3 linked regions of the Arabidopsis thaliana genome follow. The protein of the gene in region 3 interacts with the protein of the main gene of each other region in a pairwise test. Each region holds a gene or a part of one and is shown on either strand. Other genes may lie near its edges.

What was found. The genes of interacting proteins can lie anywhere in the genome.
Region 1: the proteins of AT3G14760 (region 3) and AT3G54360 interact in a protein complementation assay, tested with the Arabidopsis thaliana proteins (one large-scale study listed by BioGRID).
Region 2: the proteins of AT3G14760 (region 3) and AT3G08930 interact in a protein complementation assay, tested with the Arabidopsis thaliana proteins (one large-scale study listed by BioGRID).

Annotation. Positions count from the first base shown.
Region 1 is NC_003074.8:20,125,812-20,134,880, reverse strand, and holds AT3G54360 (zinc ion binding protein), read left to right. Parts: upstream 1-2,967; 5' UTR 2,968-3,119; intron 3,120-3,279; 5' UTR 3,280-3,299; coding exon 3,300-3,688; intron 3,689-3,775; coding exon 3,776-4,010; intron 4,011-4,129; coding exon 4,130-4,275; intron 4,276-4,909; coding exon 4,910-4,997; intron 4,998-5,078; coding exon 5,079-5,225; intron 5,226-5,997; coding exon 5,998-6,147; intron 6,148-6,248; coding exon 6,249-6,311; 3' UTR 6,312-6,327; exon of another isoform or gene 6,328-6,588; 3' UTR 6,589-6,754; downstream 6,755-9,069. Other genes in the region: SAC3C (SAC3/GANP/Nin1/mts3/eIF-3 p25 family), read left to right, coding at 1-23, 137-233, 539-631, 732-896; AT3G54363 (uncharacterized protein), read left to right, coding at 2,346-2,642; emb1967 (Forkhead-associated (FHA) domain-containing protein), read left to right, coding at 8,850-8,918. UniProt on the Arabidopsis thaliana protein: Has holdase chaperone activity that may fold catalase to a functional structure. Not required for the peroxisome import of catalases. Required for the activity of catalases and acts mainly at the post-transcriptional level.
Region 2 is NC_003074.8:2,710,369-2,719,681, reverse strand, and holds AT3G08930 (LMBR1-like membrane protein), read right to left. Parts: upstream 6,371-9,313; 5' UTR 6,121-6,370; coding exon 5,771-6,120; intron 5,669-5,770; coding exon 5,583-5,668; intron 5,291-5,582; coding exon 5,175-5,290; intron 5,064-5,174; coding exon 4,953-5,063; intron 4,735-4,952; coding exon 4,636-4,734; intron 4,544-4,635; coding exon 4,421-4,543; intron 4,159-4,420; coding exon 4,096-4,158; intron 4,017-4,095; coding exon 3,952-4,016; intron 3,795-3,951; coding exon 3,685-3,794; intron 3,595-3,684; coding exon 3,480-3,594; intron 3,383-3,479; coding exon 3,317-3,382; intron 3,011-3,316; coding exon 2,900-3,010; intron 2,824-2,899; coding exon 2,757-2,823; intron 2,672-2,756; coding exon 2,624-2,671; 3' UTR 2,316-2,623; downstream 1-2,315. Other genes in the region: LHCB4.2 (light harvesting complex photosystem II), read right to left, coding at 1,017-1,379, 1,465-1,965; AT3G08920 (Rhodanese/Cell cycle control phosphatase superfamily protein), read right to left, coding at 6,565-6,769, 6,969-7,408; AT3G08910 (DNAJ heat shock family protein), read left to right, coding at 7,871-8,035, 8,209-8,573, 8,839-9,280.
Region 3 is NC_003074.8:4,953,107-4,959,255, reverse strand, and holds AT3G14760 (uncharacterized protein), read right to left. Parts: upstream 2,908-6,149; 5' UTR 2,817-2,907; coding exon 2,358-2,816; intron 2,259-2,357; coding exon 2,211-2,258; 3' UTR 1,950-2,210; downstream 1-1,949. Other genes in the region: SWEET2 (Nodulin MtN3 family protein), read left to right, coding at 54-114, 471-507, 595-811, 898-1,056, 1,140-1,259, 1,353-1,469; AT3G14750 (structural maintenance of chromosomes domain protein), read left to right, coding at 3,883-4,502, 4,587-4,750, 4,908-4,993, 5,366-5,491; AT3G14740 (RING/FYVE/PHD zinc finger superfamily protein), read left to right, coding at 5,950-6,149.

The DNA of each region.
Region 1 (9,069 bases), about 15 Mb from region 3:
TGTTTTGTACGAAACCTTTTAAGGTAGTCTTATGCTGTTCAATCATTTGCGTATGAGTTATTTAATTTGAACAAATTTAGGAAATATGAATTGAAGTATAATGATACCTGTCTTTTCTCTTAATTTTTTCTTCCAGATTATATCGGATGGGCAATTACAAGAACTTCTTAAGTAGAACAGCTTCTGAGGCGACATACTTGCAGTATTGCATAAGTGAACATCATATTAGAGAGGTGAGCTTGCATGGATATAAATATGTAGTTATGTCCTAGCTCTCAGGGATAGTCTTTGTGGGACTTTAATTGGTAGCGGCTAATGCAATATGAAATGAAAATAAACATGAGAAAGATGATATAGAATAAGTTTGTACTAGAAAATATTACCGGTATGGTAAAGCAATTATATAGTTACATGGAATGATATTTGCAGTAAATTGTTCAAATATATGGGTGTGTATAAAGTGGCTATACATGGAATGATATTTGCAGTAAATTGTTCAATTATGTTGATCATTTGCTTAATGTTTTCATGGTAAAAGATGCGATTAGTGGCTGTCCAATACATAAACAATGTTTGCTACAAGCTTCAACCCTATCCTCTCTTGCGGTTATCTCAGAACCTGAAGATGAAGGTGATAATACCCCTATGACTAAATATTTCCCTGTCTTTTTTTTCTATTTTCGTATTGTTGGTAAACTTGAAATGTCATAAGTCAAGTTTGTATATTTCAGGAGTTGGATGTTGAATCTTTATGCCATGAGTGTGGTCTTGAGACATGTACTGATCCTGATGGGTTCACTGTTTTACCCGTGAAGCAGTCAACCTTTCGTAGTCCAGAGGACAAGTTCAAAGTTTATGATTTGATTGGAATTGAACGGATTAAGATGTCGATTTGAACCTCTTGCATGTTGTAATGCTTCATACTCTCTTATGATAAGAAGAAATTGAATTTCTAAAACACCTAAGTTATATAATCTTATATCAATCAGATAGTATCCATATATATATGTAAACTACAGAACTTGAATGGGTTCAACTGGTTATGACATTTTGGTGACTAAACCATTTCTTAGAAAATATCCGACCGGATACGGTTAAAGGATTGATTGTTTACTTTTTTTTTTTTTTCACAAAGCTAATTTTATTATCAGCACAAACCATATCAGATACATAAACCCGAGTGAATTACGGGACGACAAAGCCGGCAGGATATAATCCTCCGGTACACAAGCCGGCGAGGAATGAAACCCCGACACTAAGCCCCGACATGGGGAAACGACGTAGAAAGACAAAATAAAACATGATTGATGATTTTACACATAAACATAGTTCTCTCTTTAACCAAATAAACCAAGATCGAAAATTAACTGGCATCGGAGATTTCGTCGGAGATTGAGACACCCACTTTAAGAAAATTTGATCTTCTTGCCTTACTTGATAATTAAAAATCTTCAGAAGAAAAACCTTGGGATACTTTGGATGGCAGACGGTGGAAACTCAGCTAAACATGCAGAGACCGTCGAGAACGCCGTGGCCGGAGATATCGACTATGCGACTTGAACCGGTAGAAAGAACCCAAAATCTGGGCGGATTTCGCCCTAGATCCGTATTGTTGAAGCTGTGTGAGGAAACCCAAAATTAGGTCACCCAACCCGAATCACCACAACACCGACAGTGAGTGGCATAGAGCGATCGTGATTAGGCCAGGGAGTATTTAGTCAGAGAAGAAAACCACGCTAATTTGCAAAATCACCAATCGAAACTATAGATCTAATAAGAGAAATTGAGGAGGAAACGAAATCGAAACCAACCCAGAAATCTCCTTAACCACAACTTAAAGAGACATAACTGAACATAAACCAAAAAGCCAAACCGACGTCATGACCGTGGTGGCTCACAACGCCGGCGGAATTGAAGCGGTGCTTTTGTTTTTAAGAGAGAAGGAAGAGGATATATTTTTTTTTTTTTTTTTTTTTTTTTTGAATATTAAAAATTGTTTACTTATGTTAGCTGATTAATATTAGTAGTATCAAAAACCGTCTGTTACAATTTTCCGATAAGGCCGTCCAATTGGTTCAATTGGCTTCAGCCCGACATCCACCGGCTTAGTATGCGGCGATGGTCGGCTTTCGTCCAGTAAATCCGGCTCCCATTAGCGGTTTTGGCTGGCTTGGTATTTTCATCTGCCGTGAATCGCTGCCGTGAATCGGTTTTATGCCGATTTCTTTTAGTCCTCTTTAGTTTATCTTTTAAAAATCTCTCTGATCTATGTTTGGTGGTGCCAACCTAACAATTTCTCGTTCAACGGTGGTCTCCAACTAGCTCCTTGAGTTTTGTTTTGTTTTATGTTTCCGGTGGTTTCCAGTGAGGTTATGCGGATATCTAATCCGACCAGATCGGGTGGATTTGCTGCTTTTTCTCTTGGATGTTCTCAAACTGGTTCTTCAGATCTTTGGTTACAACAAATCTTCATCGGTAATTATGTTCAATGTAATGAAAGAAGACTTGTTTCCAGCATATTAAGATTGCCTGTAGCTGTTTCAACATTCTCCGGTGACAAGCAACAACAAAAAACGATGCTTAAACTTTTTCCGGCGTCGATTGTGTTTACAATAGTCGGAGTAATTAACGGCGAAGGATGACGGAAAGTTTCCAAGCTTTTCTTGCAACACGTTTCATCTACGTATCTTTGTGTTTGACACGTGTATTGAGCAAAATTTTATCTTTAAGTGATGTAGCCATTTGGGCCATTAATGGGTTGTAACCATTGTGATGTGGATTTTAATAAAACTAAACCTTCAGTGAAAAAAAAAAAAAAGCTGATTAATATTAAAAATCCAACCAGTTTATAATCCAGAACAACGGTTTTCTTAAATTGACTAGTGACCCAAATTCTTAAATAGGCTACAAAAACCGCAGGCCCATTTAGTAATATCTATTTTTCGTTTGACTGAGAGAAAACAAAACACCATCCAATTCCAACGCACAAAAAAAAAAAAAAAAAAACTTATCGGAAACAGAAAAAAGAAGAGAGAGAGCTATCAATCGATCATTGATTGATTGCAGAGAAGCAGCGAAAGAGACATTTCCAAATCTAATCTCAATCCAATCCAATTCAGGTTTTTTCCATCTCTCTCTGTTGAGCTACTTCTGAATTAGCTTCTTCTATGTTCGATTTCCAGCTGTTGATAGTTTAGCTAGAGAATCAATTTCGAATTTCATCTTGAGGAAGCAATTTTAGTAATTTAGGTTTTGAATTTTCCTTTTGAGGTGTTGTAGGGTTGTTGCTACCTTCACGAATGACGACGACTTCTGTTTGCCCGTTCTCGAAAGCTGCTCGTCCTGACGATGGGTCGACTCGAAAACAAGGCGAAATTACCGCTTCTGGTTGTCCTTTTTCTAAAGCTGCTCGTCCCGACGATGCCTCTGCTCGAAAGCAAGGGGAAACGACGGCTTCTGGTTGCCCTTTTTCTAAATCTGCTCGTCCTGACGAAAATGGGAGTAAAGGATGTCCTGAACAAGAAGGAAACTTGAATAAGGACTCTACTGATTCTGCAACGGTACCTGCCAAGTGCCCTTTTGGCTATGACTCTCAAACATTCAAGCTTGGGCCTTTTAGCTGTATGTTATGTCAAGCACTTCTATATGAGAGCAGTAGATGTGTGCCTTGCACACATGTGTTCTGCAAGTAAGCCATAGTTGCTCGGCCGCTTATTTCTTTTTTGGCTCATGATTGGGTCTACTTTTCTTATACTTTGTGGTTTCTTGAATGCAGAGTATGCTTAACACGGTTTAAGGACTGCCCTCTATGCGGTGCTGACATTGAAAGTATTGAAGTTGATGAAAACCTTCAGAAGATGGTTGATCAATTTATTGAAGGCCATGCTAGAATTAAGAGATCTGTCGTCAATGGAACAGAAAAAGAAGAGGTCGAAAATGATAACAAAAAAGTGATTTACGCTGACGTTTCCATGGAAAGAGGTTCTTTCTTGGTGCAACAAGCTATGAGGGTGAGTTCTGTCTCTAAATTTTGTTGACCTAACCGATGGGATTATTCTCTTTTGCACCACTTACATTTGTTATGATGTCCCGCTGTGAGATCTTGTTCTAATTCAACTTGTATGCGCAGGCATTTAGTGCCCAAAATTATGAAAGTGCTAAATCAAGGTTGGCAATGTGTACCGAGGACATTCGGGATCAACTAGGGAGGGAGGGCAATACACCAGAGTTGTGTTCACAGCTTGGTGCAGTCCTTGGCATGCTTGGTGACTGTAGGTATGATATTGTCTTCTTTTTTATCCCAAGTTGTTTATTTCTAAGATGTATCCATTCTCGAGTTTCTGTGAACAATTAAGATTATGAAAACAACGGTGCTTTCGAATGTGGTCACCAATGTGGTCTTTTATGATCCCGCTTGAGCCACTTTGTTGTTCAAATTGATTTTTTTTAATTTGGAGTTTCTCAAGTATGTGGCCCTTCCTTGGCAGTTTCCTCAATTGATAGTTTCTCAAGTCGACTGGTTGTTGCTTTCATCTTGCTTAGAGTGCGCATGGCACTTTGGGAAATACTAAAATAATTTCTTTCTCGTTTGAACTAGATTCTGGTTTTCTAGATGGACCCTGTCTACATCAATTGACTGGAAATATATTCATATATTCAGATTTTTCTGTATCCTCTTATCATTTGCATACATCTTTCTCTGTGGTTCAATCACCTCGTTCAGAATAAATGGAAAGGAGAAGCAACAGTACATGCTTGGTTCGAAAAACCTACTTTATACATAATCATTTTCTCCTCCTGAACTGTGTTATTTTGGCCAAAATGTTTGATCTTCTGTTTGGTGTGTTGAATTTTTTCTTTTTCCGGGACTTAAGTTTGATGGTTAAATTATTTTTTGTTGTTGTTGCAGCCGAGCGATGGGAGACTCAAGCTCTGCAGTCAAGCATTTTGAAGAGAGTGTTGAATTCCTTATGAAACTGCCGTTGAATGATTTGGAGGTTATAGCACATTGGTTCTTGTTAAATTTTGATGTTGAAAACTTTTTACCTTTTTGCTTACAATTTTAACTTAACTTGCAGATTACACATACACTTTCTGTCTCACTCAATAAAATAGGAGATCTAAAATATTATGACGAAGATCTACAAGCTGCAAGGTCGTATTATGATAGAGCTTTAAATGTCAGACGTGATGCAATGAAGCACCACCCAAATGCTCCTTCACAAGTAAGTGTGCCCTCATACAGTTTTCTGTTTTTGCTCTTCTTTGTTTTGTCCCAATGTTTGGTTAGCTGAACTGGCTACTCTTAGTCGCCATATACATTTCAAGGTCTCGCAGAAAAATATCTGTTGTTAGCTAAGTTATTGACTTATTGTAGCATTCGTGAAGGCTCTTTTGTAGATCGTAATCTCTCACTCTCTAGGCAGAAAGCGTTTATTTATGTGATTGTTACATCTTGGTGTTCATTTGGGTCCAGGCAAAATGAATTCAAATGCATTAAAAGATATAGAGATTAACTTAAGGTGCTAGTGGATCAAAGGATCTGAAATACGATGTAAAGTGAAAATAGTATACTTGTTCTCAATGTGTTCAAGCGGGTTTCTTGGTTCACTCTTTTCATTTTACTTATTTGTTACTTTACCATGAATGTTCAGAGAAATTCTCTAAATAGTTTCCTAGATTTTATTCAAGTCAATTGCTATTTTGTTGCCTGGGTTGAACTGAGGTTTAGGTAACTGACGTGTTGTCGTTGCAGTATACATACTTGGATGAGGTGTCATTTAATTCTCTGCGATAAAGTTACTCTCTTTTGGATACATATAATTAGATTTACGTGCATTGTAATTGGGTTATTCTGTTGGTTGGAAATCTTCTCTTTGTTTTCTTATTTTATACTTGATTTCTTGCCTAGAGAAATTGGAACTCAAATATAGTAAGCAAAGGTCTGTCCGGAAGTAGAAATTGATTTCTTTTGTTATTTCTACATTTTTTATGTAGATTCTGGATGTGGCTGTTTCCTTAGCCAAAGTTGCGGATATAGACAGGACTCTACAAAATGAAGTTGCAGCGACAGATGGGTTCAAGGAAGGCATGAGACTGCTGGAATCTTTGAAACTGGACTCTGAAGATTCTGCTCTCGAGCAACGGGTAAGATTCTTGCACGACTCCCTTTTTATTTGTATCTTATCCAAAGCTGCTGAATGTCAGTAAAACTTTATCTGACAAATGTAATTTTAACATGCATGCAGCGGCTCTCTGTACTGGAGTTCCTTAAGAAGCAAGTAGAAACCGATGCTGAAACTGCACTCTAAACCGATGCAGGCTTAAGTACGTATATAGAAATTATACCTAAGTTCTCGTCTGTGGCATTTTGCTGAATAAAGAAAGCAAAAATGTTGTATTTGCGCTCAAGGGACAAAGAAACAGAGTTGTCTGTATGTTGTGAATTGTGATGGTTTTCAACTTTCAATGCACTAATCTTGCAATGTTAAATTGTTAAGCATGATTGTACTCTATGCACTTGTGAAATTTAAAAATTAAGATATCTTAAGCGGCTACAGCTGTGAACTGCTTTCTATTTCTTTTCAGTGCAAAATGAGAAAGAACCCAACAGAGATTGAGAGATGATGTGAAAGGAAAATGCAAGTATTTGCAAACTCAATCAGCTACAAAGAGTATAAATTGCGACAACAAAAATTTGTCTTTGTTGTTTTGTTGAATGAAGTTTTTCTTGTAACTACTCTTACAAAAATAAAAACATAAACATAGTCAATCCCTAAAGCCGATGATACTATGCAAACGACAAAGATATACTAACTCCAACGCACGAATCAACAAAATTAGGTCACTTTTACGAAAATAAATCTACATAATCAACAAAATTAGGTCAACTTCGTTCTATTTGTAAAGCTTTTTTCAGTATTTTTTTCTTTAATATGTTCACGTCTTTTAACTGTTCATATAATTACGTAACTAAATCTTTAACTTCGTATGTAAAACTATGTTTTTACGTATTAGATATAGAGAAATTGTTAAGAATGTTTTTCCAAAAATATGTTTTTTTAGTACTATCCTCCCATGTAATCATTTTTATTGATATTATCTTTTAATTATTAATGACTATTTTGCTTCTATTTGAAAATACTTAAATCAACAAAATGAAAAAATGATTTTTTCCGCCAAAAAATGTACTTCACATCAACTGCTATGAAACAATGTACTGATTTTATCAATTCACAAAAATTCTTGCCTCTAATCAATCGTGATTCAAGCAATCATGCAAAATCTTGAGTAACCAAGCCTAAAAAACCTAAAAACCTAATCAATTCTTAAAAGATACGGAAATTAAAGTCAAAGATTACTATCAACTCTCGCCTCTTATCCATCTTAATTAGTTCTTCAAAGATTTCACACGAGTAACCTAAAATCCATTGAAATTAAGTCAACTATATACCTCTCTTCGCGGTTTATAGTTGAAATCTGGAGGCATCGCCAAGTAGCCGCCAGCTTCGCCGATTTTACGTTGAAGATCAGCGTTTTCTTCCAATATGAAATTTCTGGCGTAAAGCGATAAGTGCACTTTTCCGGCATAGATTGAGTTGAACTGAACAAGAATAGTACGACGACAGATCAGATTTTTGAGGATAAAGAAACCATTGTCGAGAATTTGAGAAAAAGATGAAAGTCGAGAAATGATTATTGATTATCTGAGGATTTATAAAATATATAAAAAATATTTAAAGTTCAAATTTTATTAATCCTACTAATATTAGTTTAGAAGTACATTTAAAAAATATGAACTAATATCTATCATCTAAAAGAGTATAAATTACAACAACAAACGAAATGTGTTGAAAGAGGCTGTTTTTCCGGGAAATAAGCATTTGAAGTTTAGTTTCAGAAAAAGGAGTTAAAAGAAGAGCAAAGTAAAAAAATCACATATATCCAAAACGGTGTCGTTCCATTCTCAAACGTGCTTTATCTTCTTCTTTACACACTCTCGCCTCCGGACGACGGAGACAGTCAGATATAAATTAGGGTTTCAGATTTTTTAGATTTTATCTCTTCAATTCGAGCCAGTGAATTGCCGCCTCCTCCTCCTCCTCTTCTTCCCTCAAGTTAGTTACTTTCGTCTTGAGTTTTCTAAATTCTCTATCTATAAATTGTGATATCAACTTGTGAGAATTTCGAAAAAATTGTATGTGCGTCTTCTTTGGAGCTTGAGAATTTAACGAGAGTATTGATTTTTTACCTACAGTACATAACCAAAGCAATGAAATTCTACTTGTATCCTGTAATGGCTGACTAAATCAACTGCGAATCGTGGTTCGTCACTTTCTTAATTAACTATTTTTTTTTCGATCTTTGTCTAATTTCAATAATTTATCCAAATCCTGATACTTGTTGTTCCAGTTTTGTGACATGGTTACTGTTGCTAGGCTATTGAACCTCACTCTTGTTGTTCCCGAGATTGACAAAACATCCTTCTTTGCTGATTCAAGGTATTGTAACTCCTTTTCTTAAACATTTTCTGTTTCTCTTACGTTCTTAAACCCTATTGCAAAACGAAACCTAGAAGAATGCTTCAGATTACTAGAAGAGCTTAACGGTGAGAAAGAGAAACCCATTAATTCCATTTCAAGTAGTGCTAGACCAAGTAATAGCGTCGTCTTTGTTAGTGTTGTTCACCGTAGAGAAAACCAAATTTGAATCACTTCTGATGATATTGTTGCCTACATCTGTCTGATTTTGATTTCGTTTAATTAGGTTTTGTGTTCTGTCACCATCTCTTAGACCCCTTCTACGTTACGCTTTCCTGAGAGAAGTAAAGGTCTGGTTGTGCAGTGAACATGGGGGCTCTTGCTCAAGTTGTTCCGTGGATACCCGAAGACGACCTGCTGCTAAAGAATGCTGTCGAGGTGAGCTCCCATTTCATTGAGTTTGGTTACATTTCAGTTTTCATTATTTTACTACCGGAAATGGATTATGTTGGATTGAGCCATGGGTTTGATCTCAATATTTGTCTCAATTTCCTGTCCTTTCACGCGCTTTATGTAGTTCAATGATCAT
Region 2 (9,313 bases), 2.2 Mb from region 3:
CAGGTGTGTGCGCAGATGGACACCCTTGACGAGGAGCTTATGGATTATGCAAACCAACTCCGGAGAAGCATCTTTGAAGCATACTCCGGGATACTGCAAGGGTTCAAGGATGCAAAGGCTGAGCTCATGATGCCCTATGCTCAACATCTGTTGCAGTTTGTTGAACTAGTATCCAAAGATTCCCTGAGGTCCGTACCTTCTTTTTTCAATAATATAATCAATTTATATATCTTTTCTAGTTTCACTATTCAGTTTAAACTTATTACTCGGTTTTTGTTTTGGGAGCAGGGATGAGAGCGTGACAAAAGCCGCGGTTGCAGCAATGGGTGATCTTGCGGATGTTGTAGGGGAGAACACGAAGCAGTTGTTCCAAAACTTCACCTTCTGTGATGAGTTCCTCAATGAGTGTCTCGAATCAGAGGATGAAGATCTCAAGGTCACTGCACGCTGGACTCAAGGAATGATCGCAAGACTCGTGCTCTAATCATAAATTTAAAGGCTTTTCCATCATCACTACTCGTGCGTCTCTCTCTCTCTGTCGTCATTGTTTTGAGTAAAGGTTTCAAAGAATAGTTGCGGGTCTTCCTCTTTGCTCTGTCTAATGATGTTGGGATAGTGGTTAAGGGGGGTTTTGGGAAATTGTTTTGGGGCTATCTCTGTTTTGATGCTGCGTCTTATTTTTTACTCTGTAGAAGAAAAACAAAATCTTTTCTTTTTTTTTGGTGAATGGAATTATCCACTTATCGGTGGTCACTTTTTGAGTCAACTTTATGATTCTATGTTTCTTAACGTGAACAATTTCGACAGAATTTAGCAAACGATTAATTTGATGTAAAGGCTCATCATAACTCCGATGATCTACGTAAACACAAACTGCGAGGTATAAGAAATTCCGTTTATACAAAAGGTGCCAAATTTTCTTTAAAATAACGACGTTACATCATTACATGACACCAGTAGAAGCTAAAAGCCACCACATCATTACATGACACCAGTAGAAGCTAAAAGCCACCACATCAGGAGGAAGAGAAGGTATCGATAATGGTGGTGTGAAGTGGGTCACTAAGGTGAGTCGCCCAGTTGTTGAGCGGTCCTTTACCGGTTGCAGCCGCCTGAACCGCAAAACCCAAGAATCCAACCATGGCTAAACGAGCATGTTTGATCTCAGCTAGCTGAAGCTGAGCCTTCTTCACCGGGTCAGACGCTAGTCCTAACGGGTCAAAGAACTTGCCTCCTGGATACAAACGCTTCTCCGAGTCCAGTTCAGCGTTTCGTTGGAACTCAATGTAGCCGATCACTAACACTTCGATCCATATCAATGTCGAGATAGAGAACGGCAATGGCTGTCCTAAGTAAGATGATCCATCCACTAGCTCTACCTGGTAAATTAAAAATAAAACAATCAGACAGATGTCGAAACGCTAAACACAAACGCAAAAGTGACGAAAAGAAAAGAGGCGATACCTTGCCGGCGTCTTGCCAAGTAACACCGGTGAGCCATTCGACGGTGATAGCGCCAAGAGTGGCGAGCATTGCCCACCGACCGTGAATCAGCTCACATTCTCTGAATCTTTGTAGCCCGAAGACTTCACTATATGGCTGAAACGGCGTCGATTTGGGGTCCACCGCCTCGGTACGAGTCCCGATCACTTCTCCGTATAAGTTCTTGGCTAAGTTCTGGTCCAAGGAATCCAAATCGAATTGGAGATACTCCGCCGGTTTGCCTAAACCAAAAGGATCGAACCCGTAGTCCCCGACAAGTGAACCGTCGAGATATTCGGGTGATTTTGCGCCTGGGAACCATAGAGGCCGGTCTGAGATAACCGTCTTAGCCTTTTTGGGAGATGCTTTCTTGGTTCCGAATCCGAACCGGGCTGTGAACCGGCTTGAATTGGAGCTAATGTCGGAAACCACCCGGGTACCCATGATTGAAGAAGCAGCAGCGGCGGTTGAAGTGGCGGCCATCTCCGGCGTCGTTAGTTAGTTCTGTCGCGTTTGCGGTTTGTAACTTATCTGAAGCAAATGGCGTTTTTAAGTGGCGGTATGTGTGTGGGAGAGATCTCAGAGAACGAATCTTGACGGTTAGATGGAGAAACAAATCCATCTGACGGTAGGAAACAAAATCAGCCTTATCTATAAAAAGCTCGCGTTATCTATCCTGTCTGTCTTTTAGAGTTAGATGAGGCAAGCAAGCTGATTGGGCAAAAGAAGCTATTGACGAATCGCATAGCAACGCCACTTGTCACTTCAGCAGCACATGTCCACTTGTATAGTTGTATGCCTTGCATACTAAACAAATTCAAGAATATTGATAATCCGGTTAGGTTCGGTTACAATTGTCTCAAACCACAAAGGAAGTCTCTGTCTTGTAAAAATTCGAAGAAGGCTTCTCATTAAGAAAATATGATTACATGATCGCATCCGAGACAGTACAATAGACCAAGACAGGACAGCTAACTGTTGCGCAACCAAACAGCACACTCACAAGAAATTTAATAATACATTCAGGAAAATAAACCTCAGAAGCAGAGTCTCTAGATACTTCTGGAATCGATGATGATCCAGAAACAAGTAGAAACTTTGTCGACAGCACTCAATCAGATCCCCGTGAAAACGTTTTACATTAAGAAGAGAGCTGGAAACGGCCACTAGTTTTTTTTCTTCTCCATCCCTGCCAAAACACCAAAGACCATATGATTCTACAAATACTTAATACAGAAGAGAAAACCCGAGGAGTAACATCAACGAGGACTTACAAAGGCAATGTAATATAGGAAAGTCAGTCCAGCCAGGATAACAAACCCGATTTGGAACACATTGTACCTGAAATATAAAACCTCAATAAGACGCATCACGGATATAGCATATGACTGCTATATGTTATACCACTTCTACTTACTTGTAAAGGTACTTAATTCCTCTAAGGGACTGCAATGTGTGGCCAAATATCTCCTGGGCAGCAGTGGCTTGAGCGTAATATCCAAATGCAGTGGCACAAAATTGAATCACGCTGCATTTTAAATGAACCACATTACTCAGACTGTGAGGATTAACATGTAATTGTGAGGGTAGCAGCTGTATATTAAAAGTCTTGGTTTGACATCTAATAGAGTACAAAGGATACCCAAGTGCATGAGTAAAGTAACTATAAACTTCGATTCAGGCATTCGCCGGAAAGGAAATTAGTTTTAGTGATGGCATGAAAACACTGATAAGTTAATGTATGCACATAAACATGCTTGATCTAGATCCGTTTATCAGAGTGCACTTGATCCCAACAGATACAAAGGCAGAAGAAGAGACCAGAGAGACTTACCTGATTGAACAAAGAAGAATGAGGCCGACATTGAAGAGGAAAGAGTTCATTAGAGTAGCTCCCCATCTGAAATAAGTTGATATGGCCAATCAGCAATCAAGAGAAGGTAATGAATGACCTTGGAAAATAGCCAAATAATGTTGAAACCGGTTAGATGGATTACTTCATTGGATGAATGGTAATGAAGACCAGCTTCAAACCCAGCATCATTGCCCCAGCGATAACAGCAAGTAGAAGGTAGAAACAGAAGAAAGCAAAGGCAGCAGTGCCTAAAAGACCTGGAGATTTCCACACGTACCAGCATGGAGTCAGTTAGAAACAAAGAAGAAACCTTATACAGGATAACAAGGACAAAAGTATGAACTTACCCCAAACATCATCAAGCTTAATGAAAACCTCGTTAAGAAAAGGGGAGAGAGGAGGGTCGACGAGTAGATATATGATGATGTGTGCAACCCAAGCAATGGAAACGATCAATCTACAAAGACATTAAAAATTTGCCATTTAAAAAGACGCTTAGCTCGGGAGCTTAAGAGTGCAAACCTAAATATGCAAGAACTGTATGCATTATGCATGATTTATACAACATGTAACAAAAAAAAATGCAAAGGAGGTTTCTGCTTAGATGTACTAACCCTACGATTCCAAGAATAAACTTGGCCAAGTATCCGAGCACAGTGAAAGCCCATGCAGTTTCTGCCTGGAAAAAGGTACCAGGGAATAAAATAGTTGAACAAGAAAAATATTATAGTATAAGTTCTAAGATACACTCGTCTTACCTGCTCTCCTTGAGGATACATCTCTTCTAAGAGGTTCACATCTTCCTCCAATTGGAGCAACTCCTGCAGGGTTACCACATTCAATTATAGGATTGAGGGGACACAGCTTAAATCCACAACCAAGCAAAGAAAAGCTACCAATAAAGTCAATAACCAATTCTACTATCTCACTAGCTTTTCACTACAAGTTGTCATTCTCATAACTCCACAGACGACCAAAGCCTCTTTACACACAAGGGACCAGTATGAATAGGCAAACTTTCCAAGTTGCTACTTATGAAACAAAATTTAGATAAGATACTGAACCTTGAGATATATGAGGTACCTTTTCAACTGCTTTCACATTTTTCCGCCATTTCCTGCCCTTAGCACCACTTCTTTCTTCCTGATGAAGTCCATCAGCTGCTTTCTTTAGTTCTCTTGCCTTTTTACCTAGTTCGGTTGCCTCCTGTAATATATTTATGGAGTTAATCATGCAAGAGACAGAGGGATTGACTCAAGATCTAGAGAGATGCTTCCAGAGGAGAACAATAACCAGACCTTTATATATTGTGATCGAGTGATAACAGCCTTTGGTCGCCTGATGAATGCAGTGATAAGTCCTAATGGTAGACATGCAATACCAACACCACCAAATATCTAGAAATATTTGAGAGAACAATTAGTTATCAGATTTTTTTTACTGAAATGTATAAATCAAACATCTATTTACTTCAATGGATACAGAATTATATCTTGCCATGCATCTCATCTGTTGAGAGTTTGTGTTAGTCAATGAAGAATCAACAATATAAGACAGATTAAATCCTTTCAAAGCAAACAATGCACTTCTCAACATGAAAGAACAATGGTCATACCGTGAAAAGAACTGACCCAACAATTGTCGCAAGAGCAACAACATATTCTGGAAAAGTAGTACGCATAGTCCATGTTTTCTCAGATGTGGGATTAGCTGTAAATGCTGAGCACTGCATTGATAGCCAGAGACAGGAATATGTTAAATGCTGAAACTCTCTACGGCATAAATGACTCATGATATAAAAACTAATGCTAATGCTACATTCAAGAGGCAAACATACCTGGCGAGCAGTGTTACCTATGCATGGTTGAGTATTTGAAAACTGCCAGGAAGTAGGGAAAGTGGATGTGGCAGAAGCCAAATGCCTGACCGAGAAGTCCACCTTTCCAATGACACCTACATGATGAAGATGTTACCAATAATGTTAAGGTATTCCTAGCATATAAATGGATAAGATAGATATCTCAACCCAAGCCCTGATTGGGTAATTTAAAAGCCAAAATTAACATAAGAATGCAGTCAAATCATAGAGACCAACATCAGATTCATCCTTGCCACATGCTCACTAATGGATTCAATAACCACTCCAGCTAAACAAGTATAACCTCCAGACTATCGTCATTCGTCAATACAGAAAGACGCTGAATTTCAAGTCGACAAAAGAATTGAAAACAGAGGAACAACTAACCATATAAAATTCCAAGCACCAGAGCACAAACAACAGCCGTGGTAACTACCCAAATTAAGGCACTTTTTATCCTCTTTCCAAGAGTCCTGTGAAAAAACGAAAGAAAAAAAGCCCACAAATTGTCATCAGTATTCGATTAACTCAAAACTTACAACATAGAGATACTAAAATTTCATCAAGCTACGAACTTGTCCTGGTCGCCTTCATAGAAAAACATTGCGAAGGGGATGACAAAGAACACGAGAATAGCGTCCACGATATAAATAGCAAGCCAAAGATCCTTCATGGGCAAGGTGAGATTGCAAGCTCCATTGTATATAGCATGTCGACAAGCATGCCGATTGGCCACATCAGCCGGTAACATGAGAATCGAGATCATAGCAATAGAAAGGCCAAAAACAACGACGAATTTGGGGAAATAAGCCTGGTTTGCATCATCTGGATGCTGATAGTTGACGAGAAGATAGATGCTAGAGATGAATACGATGACGCAAACAACGATCGCGACAATCACGAGAGCGAGGTTGAAATCGCCCATCGTGTGCAATGTACAACGTCCCCAATTCGAGAGATTTCGATCCCGGAACGATTTGGAAGATGTAGCACCCAATTGCAAAGGCTAGGGTTTTCTAGGAGTTCAAATTTTGAAAATTGAATTTGGGGATTTTAGTAGATCTGGATTTCTTTCTTTTTTTCCCTCTCGAAAACCAGACGAGGGAAGAAGAAAGAGGACTGGGAGAGGATGAACATTCTTGTAAATTACGAAGCTACCCTCAACAATGTGCTCTCGTGCCTAATGGCTTTGGGTGTAAACGTAAATTGTTACTAGGTTTGGAGATTAGCTGTCCGAAGCAAATGATTCGGACAAAATATTTCAACTAATGAAAGACATCTGTAAGTAATAAACCAGTGACCAATTGTGTAAACCGGACACAATTTTAAAAACAAAAAATGTCTTCACACTTGGCTCCAAAAAACCAATTTAACGACTCTTCTGGCCAAAAGACGGTAACAGTACAAGTAGTTTGAGTAAATAAAATGATACACCTCCTATCGTGGCGAACCGAAGCTCTTCGGTCCCTTCGATCTCTGGAAAATCTCCCTCGGATACTCGGTTAAACCCTCCGGTTAACCACCCTAAGCTTTTGTACCCTTCTCCGTGGAGCTTTGATACAGCCGCCAACGACCTGAGAATGAGATTGAAAAGCAACACCATTTATAACAACCAAACCGAACCAAAGAGTTCAGTTTAATTTATACTATCCAAACCAAAAGATTCTATGATCAAATCGATTGATTAATAGTTTATTTAGTTTGATAAGTTTCTCTAAAATCTGGACTAAAACTGGCAATGATTAACCAAAATGCAACATATAAAGCTGGTACCTGAGTCCTTCACCGCACACGACGAGCACTTTACTCTCTTTGTCCGGGACAGCCTCCACAACACGGAGGGCGAATTCGTCATTGATCATGGTGAATCTCTGGCCCGTCCAAAGCCCAATATATCCCAAATGAATCCATTTCTTCAGCAACGTGATCGGCCCATTGTCTGGATCTTCCACGAACAGTGGCACGTGTAAGGAACCTTTCACGCGTGCCTTTTCTCTTTCCCAAGCCGGCCTCACGTCTAACAGTATATATCCCTCCGACGCCACAACCGCATTGGCTTCTTTGGGCTCCACCGCCCGTACCTTGCCGGAAAGTATCAGCTCTTTACCGGAAACGGCGGAGATCACTGGTAATCTGTATGATTGTCGGAGGCGTCGGTTTAGTACTACTGGTAGCTTGTGGATATGGTTTAGCTGAGGAAGAAGAACTGTCATCTTTAATTCTTTTGGATTTTCAGAGGAATTTAACCAATGATATTGTTCTTCAGATTTTTCATTTTAAGAACACCCCAAAACTTCTTACTTATTTCCATTTTAGGCCCTCAGATATTTCATAATTTGACTATCACCCTCGCTTAAAGTAAAGTAACAAACATATACTAGTGGGGTCAAATGTTAAATAATAAATATATAGGGCTACTAAGTGTAAATTTCCTCTCTTTGAAACGACACCGTGATTCTTAATTCTGATAAGGTTTGACTTTTGAGCTAGGTTTGCCGAACCAAAAACAGAACCGGTAAAGACCAAATAAAAGAACCGGTCGGGTATTTCTTGTATCTCGATAAATATTTCGAACCGGTACGGAATGATCCGCTAGAGTTTTTCCCATTGAAGAAGATCGAGTGAAATTCGAAGAGCGAATCAAAGAGGAAGAAGAAGAAGGAGGAGGTATAGCAATGGGGGTCGATTATTACAAGGTTCTTCAGGTGGATCGGAATGCGAAAGACGACGACTTGAAGAAAGCTTATCGCAAACTCGCCATGAAGTGGCATCCAGACAAGAACCCTAACAACAAAAAAGACGCCGAAGCCAAATTCAAGCAGATCTCCGAAGCTTACGATGTAAATTAACAAAATGCGTTTTCTCTTTTCAGAGAGATTCCCATCTTTTGCTTGAATTTGAGCAATTGTGTAGTTTGTCAATTCACTATGGTTACTTCTCTGGCAATTAAGTAATCTTGATTTGCTTGTAGAATTGTGTTTGATAGATTCCTTATGCTGTTGGATTTTGTAAGGTTTTGAGTGATCCTCAAAAGAGAGCCATCTATGATCAATATGGAGAAGAAGGTCTAACAAGCCAGGCTCCGCCTCCCGGAGCAGGCGGCGGGTTTTCGGATGGAGGGGCTTCGTTCCGGTTCAACGGTAGAAGCGCAGATGATATCTTCTCGGAGTTCTTTGGCTTCACAAGACCATTTGGTGACTCACGTGGTGCAGGTCCCTCTAATGGGTTCCGGTTCGCGGAAGACGTTTTCTCGTCAAATGTTGTTCCACCGAGGAAAGCTGCCCCTATTGAGAGACAACTTCCTTGTAGTTTGGAAGATCTCTACAAAGGAGTCAGTAAGAAGATGAAGATCTCTCGGGACGTCCTCGATTCAAGCGGGTCAGTTTTTTTTCAGCTACATTGTCATGAATTGAGTTTAAGAATCACCTTCTTATGGATTTAGTTCCAAAACATTGATTTGCTTAGGAATTTTTACCTTAAGGAGCTTTGGAGCTGGATAAATACATGAAAGATGTAGTGCTAGAAATTAGTCATTAGCCATTGGATAGATTATGTTGGACTCATTAGAGTTGTTTTTTTTGTAGCTATGATGTTGTTGTTATCGGTAATGCAAGTTGAAAGTGTATTCTTTGTTGCAATGCAGGAGACCCACAACAGTTGAGGAGATCTTGACGATAGAAATCAAGCCAGGGTGGAAGAAAGGGACGAAGATTACCTTCCCGGAGAAAGGAAACGAGCAGCGAGGAATCATACCATCAGATCTTGTATTCATAGTTGATGAGAAGCCACATGCGGTGTTCAAGCGAGACGGGAATGACCTTGTGATGACACAGAAGATCCCTCTTGTGGAAGCCCTCACGGGATACACTGCTCAGGTCTCGACTCTGGATGGAAGATCAGTAACGGTTCCAATTAACAACGTGATCAGCCCTTCTTATGAAGAGGTGGTGAAAGGTGAAGGCATGCCAATCCCTAAAGACCCATCAAAGAAAGGGAACTTGAGAATCAAGTTCACTGTTAAGTTCCCATCGAGGCTAACAACAGAGCAGAAATCTGGAATCAAACGAATGTTTTCGTCTTCCTAGTCTGTCTCTTTCTATCTTACTGCTACGTTTGAT
Region 3 (6,149 bases):
TTGTTCTGAAGAGAAAACAAACAAAACAGAGAGTTTAAGACAGAGAGAAGCTCATGGATGTTTTTGCTTTCAATGCTTCTTTATCCATGTGTAAAGATGTTGCCGGAATCGCAGGTAATAACTTTATCCTATTCACTGTTTTTTTTTTGTTTGGTAATTTTAAGCTAATTGTGGTAAAACCCAATATTCAAATTCCTTTTTTGATTCCATGTAATATATATAACTAGATCTGGCTTAGGTTCCATGAATATCCCCAAATCAGTATATATTTTGGCCATTTTTGGTCCGCATATTTTCCTTTTCTAGGCACTGAAACAACGTTAATAAGATTCAAATTTGTTTCTGAATTTTGTCGGAAAAATTCTAGAAATCTGCTTCTGTAGAGTCCAAATTGATGCAATTCACAAACAAAGATAGAAACTTTTTTCCATTTGTTAATATCACTGTTTCATTTGTTCTTCTGTGTTCAGGCAACATATTTGCATTTGGACTCTTCGTTTCACCAATGTGAGTTCTTCTTATTCACTTATTCGTTGTATGTATTAAACAGAGTTTTTCTTTGTCTATGGACTTGACTGTTTTTTCTTCTTTCAGGCCAACGTTTAGGAGGATCATGAGGAACAAATCGACGGAGCAATTCTCCGGTTTACCATACATTTACGCTCTCTTAAACTGCTTGATCTGCCTTTGGTATGGCACACCTTTCATATCACACAGCAATGCCATGCTTATGACTGTGAATTCCGTTGGAGCTACGTTTCAGCTTTGCTACATTATCCTCTTCATCATGCATACAGACAAGAAGAACAAGGTTTTTGGATTGTTTCTACTTCTTACTCACACAAACAAATTATTGTTTTTTTTTCTAACTCTAAATCAACATTTTGATCATGGCAGATGAAGATGCTTGGTTTGCTTTTTGTGGTGTTTGCTGTGGTTGGAGTGATTGTAGCTGGAAGTTTGCAGATACCTGACCAGCTCACACGGTGGTACTTTGTCGGGTTCTTGAGCTGCGGTTCTCTTGTTTCAATGTTTGCCTCGCCGTTGTTTGTTATTGTAAGTTCCCAAAAAATGTCAACAAATCTTTTCAAAATATATATGTAGCTTTCTTGATTGCCTGACTTGTTTGGTCTTTGCAGAACCTAGTGATTCGGACTAAGAGCGTTGAGTTTATGCCGTTTTATCTCTCGCTATCGACTTTCTTGATGAGTGCTTCCTTCCTTCTTTACGGGTTATTCAACAGCGATGCCTTTGTTTATGTAAGTTACTCAACAATATTTCCTATTGGAATCTCTGTTTTCTTTCATTAGATAGTACTAATTACAAAACTTGTTGTTTTTTTGGCCACTCAGACACCAAATGGAATAGGAACGATTCTTGGCATTGTGCAGCTGGCTTTGTACTGTTACTACCACAGGAATTCTATAGAAGAAGAAACAAAAGAGCCTTTGATTGTTTCTTACGTGTGAGGTTCGCGCAAAGAAGCAAATTTATAGTGGGGAAATTAAAAGAAACCAGAAAATGTGGTGACATCAAGATTCTTTGTTGTTGTTGTTATTGTTGTCTACTCTGTGTAGCTCATTGTGACTATCTACCGGCTTTCATTCTCTCATGGCGTGAAGATGTTTATTCTCTCTGCTTCTGTCATGATCGAAGGATGGAAGTCTTTTTCAGTTTTGATGGCTCAATTGCTGAAGATTATGTGAAGACACATGACAGATTCACTGGTGTACGTGGGTTTTGTTTTTGTGTGGTGGAAATCTCATGGTGGGTCGATAACGTTTGTCCATATATTGTTTGTTTTTTTTGAAGATTACTCTATTTTTTTGTTCATAAGATTTTTTTTCTTTGATATGGAAATCTCTGGTGGGTTGATTTGAAGACGTTTGTTAAGGATTATTCTATTTTGTCTGTTCATAAGATTTCCACTTTCTCTGTCCCTCCAAGCAATCAAAAAGACACACACACAAAAACCATCTAAGTTGGAGCAAATTGTCTGTTCATAAGATTGTGCTTTTCCTTTGTACCTCTAAGCAATCAATAACACACACAAAAAAAACAAAGGAAAGAAAATTTGCATCTACATCACTTAAGACATTGATACATACACATTTTTTTAGCGCTCTCAGAATCTGACCTTTAATTTCATTGTGGTTTATAACTTGTAGTACACGAAACTTCAAGAGACTTCCTTCTAGAGAAAATCACTGTCAAAGCAAATCTCTCAGAGTTGTTCTTACCACAGAACTCTGTTTTACCTACAAAAACAGCAATGACAAGAACTTATATCCATCTCTGACCAAAACCAAAAAACACTTTTGTTGTTAAATTTAGGTCAGGAGTAAATTAACACTCACTTTTTCTTGAAGCTGAGGATGATGACGCGGATGGCCACATTCATCATACAATATAAGGCCGCTAAACCGAGGCAATTCACATTTCTCACCCATCAGAATTGGTCGCTGCCAAACCGGATCAACCGCATTAAGACTCCTTTCTTTAACCGCAAGCAATGGTGGCTGCCGCCTTGTTTCCATCTCCATCCACTTCGCAGCAGAGCTCCAACAAAAAGAACCCATCAACGTTCTTTTCACTTTGCTCCACTTACATTTCCTCTTTTCCTCCATAGTCCTTGACCCAAACGCTGTTTCAGACGCCCACTCTGCGTCTGCTACTTGCTTCCCTCGAGAATTGCGGTTGAGAAACGCTGCGGCTATGCAGAGTAGCGTTACCGCAGCCGCTGTTCCGACCAAGATCACAACGGCTTCTTTCGTAGTTAGCTTCAGTTTCTCCTCCAACTTCCACAAGGCTTCCATTTTTTGCTAAATTTGGGGTCTTTTTTAGTAGTCTATCTTGAGAGCTAAGTATATAGGTGAAATTGGTGAGCTTCATGTGAATTCCACCGTTATAGATTTATTCATCATTATGGTATTTATAACCTATAGTTTCTATATACCCATCAATAAAATCTTTCATCTCACCTTGTTGATTCATTGTGTTGGGTATAGATATAAGTGGGGTATTAAATATATCCGTTGTAGTCTTCGTAACGCAAACTATATAAATTTATTGTGCATACGAAAAAAAATTAAATGTAACATTTGTTATTAGTCGTATGATTGTAACGTTTTGTATGATTGTAAGGTTTTGGAAAGTTGTGTAACCTTCCGTATTGTTTTTAAGTTGAGAGTTAATCAGGAAGGTAGTCAAAATTTTGGTTCAAGATTAGCAAAGAAATGAATGATCAAATTGTAATCAGGTAGGTAGTCAAATTTTGATTAATTTTTTTTTAAGATTTGAGGTTACTTGCATGATTTGTAGTATGGAATCTATATAGCTTGTAGGGACAGAAGGTTTTGATGAGATCACGAGCCATACAATGTCTATTCATGTTCTTGTTGGGTGGACCTAGTGGACCTTGTGGTACCACAAATTAAAGATGAAGGATCAAATTGAAACATCCAAAACATTTTGGTGCAAATTGAAACTCAGGTAGTATCATGGAGATATAATGTGTAAATACAAATTACTAAAAGGAGTAATTTAAAATATTACTATTAGTAAACGAAACCTCCGCTTTATCTACTTTTCCGGCGAATTGGAAGGGTTTTGATCTCCTTGAGCAAATCGGAGATTCTTTCTACAGTTGTGCGAACGTTCTTATAATAAGTTTTTAGTTGATCGATCTCCGATTTAGTGAACTAGGCGTCATCTTAAGAACCCTAATTTGTTTTCTCCGGTTGTGAAAACTTCTGTTGTTCGTCGTCGAAGGTCAGTTCGTGATTCTGAGTTTGTACACCTTTTCGTTTCCTCTGTTGGCACTCGAATTTTCCAGGAAGTGAAACTAGAATTTGATTCTGCGTAGTATTGAACATTAAGATAATGTCTGGAAGAAATCGTGGACCTCCTCCTCCATCAATGAAAGGTGGATCTTACAGTGGTTTACAAGCTCCGGTTCATCAACCGCCTTTCGTTAGAGGCTTAGGAGGAGGACCAGTGCCTCCTCCTCCTCATCCTTCTATGATTGATGATAGTAGAGAACCTCAATTTAGAGTAGATGCAAGAGGTCTTCCTCCACAATTTTCGATTCTGGAGGATCGTCTCGCTGCTCAGAATCAAGATGTTCAGGGCTTACTCGCTGATAACCAGAGACTGGCTGCGACTCATGTTGCGCTTAAACAGGAGTTAGAAGTTGCTCAGCATGAATTGCAAAGAATAATGCATTACATTGATTCCTTGAGAGCTGAGGAAGAGATTATGATGAGGGAGATGTATGATAAATCTATGCGATCCGAAATGGAATTGCGTGAAGTCGATGCTATGCGAGCTGAGATTCAAAAGATCCGTGCGGATATCAAAGAGTTTACTTCAGGTAGACAGGAACTAACGAGTCAGGTTCACCTGATGACTCAAGATTTAGCTAGACTTACAGCAGATTTGCAGCAGATACCAACGTTAACTGCAGAAATTGAGAACACAAAGCAAGAGCTGCAACGCGCAAGGTTTTGACCAGTCTCTTTTTTAAGATTTGCCTTTGTTCATATTGATGATAATGTGTATGTTAAGCTGTGATTTCTGTTTTGTAGAGCGGCTATTGATTATGAGAAGAAAGGGTACGCGGAAAACTACGAGCATGGCAAAATTATGGAGCATAAATTAGTTGCAATGGCTCGGGAACTGGAGAAGCTTCGAGCAGAGATTGCTAACTCAGAAACGAGTGCTTATGCTAATGGTCCTGTTGGGAATCCTGGTATGATAAACTTGAATAAGTGTAAACCTTTATAAGCAGTCACCACAATGCCTATTAAATGCACAAGTAGAAAGGAAAACTAATAACTAGCAATAGACAGTCGATCAACAGTTGAATGCATATAGCAATGTTAATCAAAAAACATGGTTTTGATCAGGTGGAGTTGCTTATGGTGGTGGATATGGAAATCCTGAGGCTGGGTATCCTGTGAATCCTTATCAACCCAACTATACCATGAATCCAGTAAGTTATAAAATTTTGACTTTTTATATTTTTTTACATTGCGTGTGCATAGTAGATGATATGTCTGAACGCACCATAATTCTCTCTACACAGTTTCACACTTTGTTTGAACTTTGAATTTAAACCGAATTTCAGTAGCCAATAGTACAGCCTAAAGTTCGAACAAGTCAATCTGATGTAAAACGGAACTGGCTTAATCGATTTATTAGACCAATCTAAGTCAACAATGTGAGCTGATGTCGATGAAACCTGTGACAGAATATGTAACTGAACAACATCTATCTTCATATATCTCCTATTCTTGTAGTTTTAGGTGCATACATTCATACACATGTAAAGTAATGTGCTGATATGATAACAATGCTGGTTCAGGCACAAACAGGCGTTGTTGGCTATTATCCTCCTCCTTACGGACCACAGGCTGCGTGGGCTGGTGGCTACGATCCGCAACAGCAACAGCAGCAGCAGCCGCCACCACAAGGACAAGGACATCGATGAAAAAGTCAAGATTCAAAGTCAAAGTCGCCCATTTTTCAAGCGACTCTCATGAAATTAAAGCAGCCTCCCTTTTGTATACTCTGATAGTCTCTGATAGATTGTGAACAAAGCCAACATATTAAAGTGTTGTTAAGTAAGAAACTTGGAAACCACAGTTTTTTTAATTTAAATAAGCCCATTAACATCTTCAATGGACCGAATAAAGGCCCATAAGAGACCACCTCCCTCGCTCTTTTTAACAATTGGCGGGTAAAATTCTAAAATTTTAGTTTCAGTTGATGAACCAAAAACAGAAGAAGAAGAAAATTAACGAAATTTTAAAATCGGAACAAATTTCAGAAATTTGGCGCACAAAGAAGTCAATTGGCGGGTAAATATCAATTTCTCATGCCTTTAATTTCTCCGAGATCTACGACTGTTCCATTCACACAAACCCAGAGATCTGAAACTAAGAAGCCATGGATGCTCAATATCAAGATCTACCTCCTCTCAAAAGATTAAGACTGTTGCAGAGAGATCTCGAAGCTGCTCAACAGCACCAGCTACCGAACCAACCGGAGATGAAGTCGTTGCAGTTGCCGGCAAAGAAGAGGAAGCAGACTCGTGTTGATTATGACGATGACGACGCAGAGAACTCCAATCCCACCTATCATTGTCT